Linked DNA regions of Canis lupus familiaris. The protein of the gene in region 1 purifies or fractionates together with the protein of each later gene. This does not show direct contact. Links are inferred from orthologs where the notes say so. Each region holds a gene or a part of one and is shown on either strand. Other genes may lie near its edges. The genes, in order: KHDRBS2 and FBXW11.

Region 1 (4,585 bases):
TTCTTCTTCTTCTTCTTCTTCTTCTTCTTCTTCTTCTTCTTCTTCTCTTCTTCTTCTTTTAATTGAAGTTCATTTTGTCAACATATAGCATAACACCCAGTGCTCAGAGCGCTTCTATGAGGACAAATTGAGATAACGGATGTGAAGACACGTTGACATTTTAAAAATTATAGAAGTAAAATATACTCTTCCACCTTATCTTGAAAAATTATAAGGAAAAGGTTTGAATACTGGAAGAGAACTTGGAAAAGTTTTAGCGCGCTTTATTTGTAGGAAAATTAGTCCCCAATCTTCTACTCTGAAAACGGTGGCGAGGCAAACTGGAAAATGATCGTTTATGAAAAGAGACGTTAGAAAGATCGTTTTATAACATTTGGAGCATGCAAGCTGCATTTTCAGGCCCCCATTATTAAGAGAAGGATGGGCACTGCTTCCAGTGTTGGTGATACCAAAGGAGGGTTTAACTGTCCTTTAAATAGAGGTGGGATAGATACAAAGTAGCTCGGCAAAAGCACCTGGTGAAACGCACCGTCACATCTAAAATAAAGAGAAAGGGAGAAATTAGAGCAACCTTGGTCACCTATTCGCTGGTCTCTTCCTTCTTCCACCTGTCTTCCCAATTCTTTCACAAACTGTGGCTAACTAATTATATTGGCTTTTTAGTTTTAAAATTCAGCCCCCTCTCTCAGAACCTCTCCTATCGATAGGGATTGCGGGAGGAGGGGTGGAATGGGCAGGAAACCAGAACTAAGTCAATACCCTAATGATTGTACACTGGAAGCATGTTGCTCTACAATATCGCCCCCGAGTCTCTTTGTTTATCAATGAACATCCTACTGCGTCCTCGAGATGTAGGTCAGGCTCATTGGAAATATCAGCCGCGGACCACATGCAGTCTTCATGATATTTCCAGCCCGGGTGCGCTGCTGATTCCTGCACACTGGAGTGCGTCTGAGCTGCGAGGTGGAGAGGGGACACCTGTACCTTAGGGACGCAGGTGAAGTCCCGTCTACCTTCCTGGTACTTTCCCCGGTGCTTCCTCCTTGCCTCGGCCGCTCACTCTTCCCCTCCATCTCCCCTGCTGTTTTGGCCGCAAGCTTCTCCGCTAAACCGGGGCTTTTCCCGCTCTCTCGTTTCTCCGCACCCCAGCCGAAGACCGAGTGCTCCACGCAACTGGGCATGCCTGATAGCCAGGAAAGCTCGGGCTGCAAGAAGAAAGCGTTTGCACCTTCTGCGCCCCCCTCCCCTCTGCAGCTGCCTCCTGCCAGTCAGGCGATCCGACGTGCGGCGCGGCCCAATGAGGGCCCGCAGCCTGCGCGGGGGCCCGGCCTCTCGTCGCGCCGCCACCAATCAACGGCGGGCGGGGGTGGGACGCGCCCTGTTCCCGCCTCTCCAGTTAAGGCCGCGGGTGTGAGCCGGGGCTCGCGCGAGCCGGGGACGACGGCAGGGACCGGCAGGTGTGGGCGCGGGGCCGCTCGGCCCGACGGCGGGAGTCGAAGGCGCTCGGTGCATGGGCCCGTGAGGACGCGCCGAGCTCCCCCGGCCGCGGCGGAGGCGGAGCAGCGCGGGAGCGAGGCGCTGCCCGGCGACCCTGCGTCCGAGCGAGCGGAACCCTGCGCTTCGCTCGGGGACGGTCCGAAGTCCGCGCTATGGAAGAGGAGAAATACTTGCCTGAGCTGATGGCAGAGAAAGATAGCCTGGATCCATCTTTTGTGCATGCATCGCGCCTCTTGGCGGAAGGTAGGACTCGCCCCCACGGAGCGGCACGGACCCCTGGCCGCCTGCTCACCGCGGCTCGGTTAGGGGAGTGAAGTTGGGGAGGGACGCCTGCCGCCTTCGCAGAAACTGTCCTCCCCCCCCGAGGATGCTCGCCTCCGAGCTCGGGCGGACCGAGCCCGCTCTTGGGGCGGGCAGCGGGGCTCCTTCTCGGCGTCTTAATTTGGGGCAGACCGGAGCTGCGAGATGTAATGGCAGTGCTGAGGTGACCTGTTAGGATCCCCGATGGAGAAACCATAAAGTGCAGCGCGGTCAACAGGGATATTTTCACTTTGCAGAGGAAAAGGAAATCAGTTTGGAAGTAAATGGGGATCAATGGAGTGTGTTCTAAGAGCTTCTTAGCTACAAATCAGCATTTTTGTTTTTTGTTGGTTTTTTTTTTTTTTTTTTTGCTGCATTTTGGGAAGTGATTTTGATAGCCTTTATCTAATTGCAGCCTTTCCTATGGAAAGTCTTAGGATTAACCTAGATTAAACTATGTGTGTTCATCAGTATTTGTGAATGTAGCAAAGGCTAAAGTGCTCATCAATTTATTTGAAGTGTGATGATTGGGTACTCTGCGAGATGCTGGCCCCTGGGAACACTCTACGATTGATCAACTGTTTTACCAAGTGTGCGTTTTCTTTTGTGTACCTGTAATGTTAAAGGAGATTTCATTCCCAGAGGAGGAGTGTATGTGTATATCTTGTGTTTTGGGTTGCTTTGAAAGATCGTTTAAACACACACACACACACACACACACACAAACTTCTGTATGACAGAAATTTTAGCCCAATTACTCCATTCATCTTGAAATAATGCCATCTATCTGCTAAAGATACAATATCTGTAGTAATCTACACATGCCTTTTTAAAAACAACTTCAATTTTTTTTTGAGGAGTCCTTCATTAATAATAAATTGCTTCATCATCAAATTTTGTAGCTTAGGTTGTTATGGACTTACCTATAGCAAAACTAAAAGTGACAACTTCCTCTGCGTTGGCCCTTCTGTGTTAAAAGAAATGTTCTCTTTTTTGAGACCTAGTTGTACATGGAAGGAAAAATTGTAAACCTCCATGTATGATTCAAATAGACATTTGGTTTGATTAAATATTTTATTTATACGGCATTTACGACAGCAGTGGAGTGCAAGGTATTTTTTCTTTTTGCATGCTAAACAATTAAAAGATTTATAATCAAAATCTTGAAAGTGTGAAACAGCTAAACTGCTTTTCAAGGAACGAGTTGGTTTTCTAGAGGAATTGGAAAGGTAAAAAGCAATTATACTTACTGCTTTCTTGGTTACCGAATGAAAACAATACAAATTAAGTTGAAAAGTCAATTTAAAAATTAAACTCTGCCTCTGCTTTATTAAAAATAAAGATAATTGCATATAAATAATAGGAATATTGGAAATTAATGAGTTAATGAACGCCTAAGATTGTTCTAAATGATTAAAAATGCAATTAAGCCTTCTCCAATCATTTATTTCAATATATCTTCCAGAAGTGTCTTTATTACGCTGATAACGTCTTTAAAATGAAAAAAAAAGTTAGGAATTGATCATTTTCTCTGACCTGCTAATTGGGAGTTCTCTTTGGGACAGCAGGCTCAATGATTAATTCATTAGTCATTGATGAGAAGCTAGTGGAGTTAGTGTACGTTTCACAACCTCCACACTAAAGAAATGCATATAAGAAACTATTAGTAGAGTGCGTAAGTATTTCTGCAGCTGGTGAAACAGTCAGACAAGGCTGTGCCCTTGATTCCTTAACATTCTATCTTTCCCAGGAACTTGATTTCTTGATACTTAGGAACATGTTTGAATGTACCTTGTAATTTAATTTTTTCCCAGTAGGGGGAAGCATGCCCTGCTTTTGTAAGGAATTAGGAGGAAAAAGCTCCTAAATAGAAAACCATCTAAGTAAGAAACAAAGAGGTGTTCAAATTTCAGAGAAATCATAATGAGGAAAAGAGAATGGAGGAGGTGATGATTATAACCTTGGAATATAGAGAAATGTATGCAATAAAGATACATAAAGTTTACATTAATTCTTCATTTGTACCTGAAGTTCTTTGTGTGTACCTACTAAAGAGTATAAGGTGAGTGTCCTTTGGAATCTCTAATAAATCTTAACGTACATTTTTCTTTATAGATCTTTCAGTGTTTTTTTCAAAAGCCATCTGCCAAGATTTCCAGATTTTGTTTCAGATCTCTATAGGAGAATATGTTGAAATGATTTTATTTCTCTTACCTGGAAATGCACTGATTGAAGGCAGTGGCTATAAATAAACCTGACATAGATATTCATTTGGAGAGAAGGTGCACACTGAAGTACATTTCAGTCAGTACTGTGCAGACAGTCTCAAGACTGAGTGAGCAATAAAAATGATCCAGATGATTCACTTCTTCAGAATGATTTTCTGGAAGCTAATGTATATAAGGTCAGTGATGTAAACCAATGAGGTTTCATAGTGATTTATTTTGCATTTTTGATTGGCAATAAATGCAAATCAGTGCTCAATTGCAACTACCTAGTAAGGCCACAGGGCTAAAAGTAGCAGTGTGTTGATTATTTTGTTATTTTCATTGTAATTTGTTTTATTTCACTTGTTTCTGCTACGTGTTTTCAGTTGGTATGATTCTGTGAAAGCTAATGGAAAAGCCCATACATTTTATGTATTTGATTCTTACTTAGAAGAGATCTTGAATAATATGGTTTGAAGAGTGCTTATATTTGATTAATTAAAATAATTTTCCTCCTGTGATTATAATATTGTTTAATTATCCATTTGTTATGGAAGGTGCTTTTGAATATGATAAAACCG
Region 2 (3,816 bases), on another chromosome or scaffold:
TATTTTTGAAATGGGTTGTTTTCATTTTATTGAACTTTGAGAGTTCTTTACATATTCTTGATAGTTTTTTTTTTAACATATGTTTTGCAAATACTTTCTTCCAGTCTTGTCTTTTCATTTTCTCAAGGATATCTTTCACAGAACAGAAGATTTTGATTTTGACAAAGTGTTGTATACCATTTTTTCCTTTATGGATTATGCTTTTGATGTCATATCTAGGAAGTCTTTCATGGAGCTTTTTGAATCTGTAAATTCATGTCTTTCATTTACCAAATTAATTTCTTTTCTTTTCTTTTCTCTTATTTTATTTATTTAGGGACACCTGGGTGGCTCAGCAGTTGAGCATCTGCCTTCTGCTCAGGTTGTGATCCTGCAGTCCTGGGATTGAGTCCCACATCGGGCTTCCTACATGGAGCCTGCTTCTCCCTCTGCCTGTGTCTCTGCCTCTCTCTGTGTCTCTCATGAATAAATAAATAAAATCTTAAGAAAAAAAATTTTATTTATTTTGACAGAGAGAGAGAGAGCACAAGCAGGTAGAGTGGTAGGCAGAGGGAGAGGGAGAAGCAGGCTCCTGCTGAGCAGAGGGCCTGACATAGGGCTCTATCCCAGGACCCTGAAATCATAACCCAAGCCAAAGGCAGATGCCCAACTGACTGAACAATCTGGGTACCCCTCATTCACCAGTTTCAAAAGTCTTTGGCCATTAGTTTTTCAGATATTTTTTCTGTACCATTTTCTTGCTGTCTCCTTCTGAGACTAATTACATAAATATTAGATCTTTTGCTACTGTCTTACATTTTCTCAACCTTTTTTCCCCCTCTTTCTGGATAATTTCTGTTTATCTTTCCTCAAGTTGACTGCATGCTCTACCTCTTTCTTAGAAATTCACAGGATAGAGTAGCATGTAAAGGCTCTGAGACACCCAGTGTTTCCCAACTTCCAAAACATTTGACCACACAACTCTTGTTTTTATGTATTACTTATTGATAGCCCCGATAACTTGTGGCAGGTTAATTAATTTAATTAACTATAATTTTGGCAATTATCCTTTAAGGAATAGGTAAAAATGGTTTATAAGGACCTTGTCAAAGTATAGACTGGCCAGAGGCTTACATTTCATTTATATTGGATATGTTTCTAAAAAATTCTATTAATAGAGGTATATACCATGTTTAATTTAAAATATGCATACATTTGATTTATAAGACTTAAAGAGTAGAGTAGAAGTGTGCTATAGAGAGGTCATCTGGACCCATGTTTGGAAACCTTCTGTACTTCTTTCTATACCAGTCCTGGATCACTAATCACTCTTTCAGCTGCGTGTGGAGCCCCATGCAGGGCTCAGATCCACGACCCTGAGATCAAGGCCTGAGCTGATACCAAGAGTTGGATGCTCAACCGACTGAACCACCCAGGCGACCCACTAATCACTCTTTAAAAATAACTGTGGTGCTAATTAAGGTCAGAAGTTAGAAGCAAGCCTTGTTGTTGTAGAAAGATAGTTAAATGTCTACAATACTTGTTATATCTTGGGTACTTGCAGTAAACTTGAGGGACGCTGTAAATCATGATAATATTTTACAATGGAAGAAACAGGTCCACACAATCTATCTTTAACAATCTAATCTTCAAAAAGAAATGATTTACCCTCCCCCATTATATGAGGACAGTATTGAAAACCTGGAAAATCTAGGAAAGATCAAAAGAAGGGAGAAAAAGAGCACTCAGAGAACAAAACCAACTATTACTAACATTTTCTTTCCTTTCCTGTTTTTCTTTTTTTAAATATACATGTTATGTCATTATATAGATGGTTTTTTATTCTGGTTTTAAAAACCATTACTGTAATAAAGCATTATATTCTCTCATTAAAAACTTTTCAGAGTTTACTTTGAAATTTGTCTGAAATGTTGAACATTTTTTATTTTAAAATTTTTGTAAATAAACATAATGGATTGTGGTATGCATTTTTAAGGTTCTTACTAGATATTGTCACATTGTTTTCCAGAGAGTGAGCCAACTCTTTTCAGAGTTTATTTGAAAATTCCCGTTACAAAGCTGTTAAAAATAATGAGTACAATCGTTAGAGGGACAAAGTATGCAAAATAGTACATCTGTTTTGAAAGCTATTCAATATTGCCTCTTCCCTTTTTTGTCATTTTCCACCTGTTTGAAGTTTAACCACTCTTATTTATTATAACAGAGGTCTGTTTTATTTATGGTTCAGAAAATAAGGTGAGACAAACATATTTATCAGAATGTGATATACTAAATCACTATTTGTGGTTGATCTTGTCTCAATAGATTTGGGATAAAACCAGTTTGGAATGTTTGAAAGTGTTAACAGGACACACTGGCTCTGTCCTTTGTCTCCAGTATGATGAACGTGTCATTGTGACTGGTTCTTCAGACTCTACAGTGAGGTGAGTGATTTTGCTTTACTAGTCTGAATTTACAGTCTTTCATGAGAAGACTGAGATTGCACCCTTTTCAGGAATGAACACATACATACTTTGTATATGTTTTTGTATACTGTATTTGTAAACCACTTTGGGTGTAGTTTTATTTGAACAAAGTAGGGTGGAAAGCTTTTGTTAAGTAGGTCCTATTCCCATTGCTGTATGTTACAGAGATGGCAGTGTACTTTCCTGCAAAAACACATTACCTAGTGTTAAGCTAGCTTTCTCCTGGGATACCATGCTTCAGACATTTAGAAAAGTCATAGTGTCCTTTCTCTGTGCTTCTAGGCCATTACTTTTGCCATACAAGCCTGTGTCTTTCCTCCTTTGCTCTTTGTGAAGAGCAATTCTTAGGAGATTGCATTAACAGAGAAGCTACAGCATGAAAGGGCTGCCCCTAAGAATCCTGTATCTCATGGATGGAAGCAGTTGGGATACTAACTTTGTCCATAAAGCATTTGGGCACATAGATGAGTGAAATTGACAAGATGTGATGACTACAGTCTCTAGTTTGCAGTGGATAAATAAGAGACTCCGAGGCCTGTCAAAGGTCCAGAGGAATCTTAAGATTGGAAACTGTCCTCAAGGGATCCCTGGGTGACGCAGTGGCTTGGCGCCTGCCTTTGGCCCAGGGCGCGATCCTGGAGACCCGGGATGGAATCCCACATCGGGCTCCCGGTGCATGGAGCCTGCTTCTCCCTCTGCCTGTGTCTCTGCCTCTCTCTCTCTGTGTGACTATCATAAATAAATAAATAAATATATTTAAAAAAAAAAAAAAAGGAAACTGTCCTCAATTCCCCAGCTACCAAGCCTCCTCCCTGTCACTGCAAACTCACTGCAGAGCCCATCTACTGGGAGAATCATTTTGTTGTCAACACAAACCTGCAAACAAGCACTGTCCTTGAATACCTGGTGCTAAATCTAAACCTGAGCAGAGCTAGGATTGGCCTTCCTTTTTTGAAACCCTCTCAGTACTTCTTAGCAAATAGAATAATTGCTTCTGAGGGCTCCTTTTAGCCATGATCTTAGGTATCAGGTCCCATTCACCAAATACAAGCAAAGCTTACATCTCCCCAGCCTACTACTAAGAATGGGCTCGGGGCACAGAAGCTAGACTCTCTTCCTGGTTGTCTTAACAATGATGCATTGTGCTTTTTTGTTCTCATCTAGAGTCTGGGATGTGAACACGGGTGAAGTTCTAAACACGTTGATCCACCACAACGAGGCTGTACTGCACTTACGCTTCAGCAATGGACTGATGGTAACCTGTTCGAAGGACCGCTCCATTGCCGTGTGGGACATGGCTTCTGCCACCGATATCACTTTACGCCGTGTCCTGGTTGGCCACCGCGCTGCT

What was found.
Region 2: the proteins of KHDRBS2 (region 1) and FBXW11 purify together in Homo sapiens (affinity purification with mass spectrometry; 3 studies listed by BioGRID and IntAct, counting the BioPlex papers as one, with this or other methods). This does not show direct contact. The link is inferred for Canis lupus familiaris from reciprocal best matches to the Homo sapiens genes KHDRBS2 and FBXW11.

The regions. Positions count from the first base shown.
Region 1 is NC_049233.1:26,361,835-26,366,419, reverse strand, and holds the start of KHDRBS2 (KH domain-containing, RNA-binding, signal transduction-associated protein 2), read left to right. Parts: upstream 1-1,480; 5' UTR 1,481-1,649; coding exon 1,650-1,740; intron 1,741-4,585. UniProt on the Homo sapiens protein: RNA-binding protein that plays a role in the regulation of alternative splicing and influences mRNA splice site selection and exon inclusion. Binds both poly(A) and poly(U) homopolymers. Phosphorylation by PTK6 inhibits its RNA-binding ability.
Region 2 is NC_049225.1:41,234,124-41,237,939, forward strand, and holds part of FBXW11 (F-box/WD repeat-containing protein 11), read left to right. Parts: intron 1-2,304; coding exon 2,305-2,423; intron 2,424-3,629; coding exon 3,630-3,816.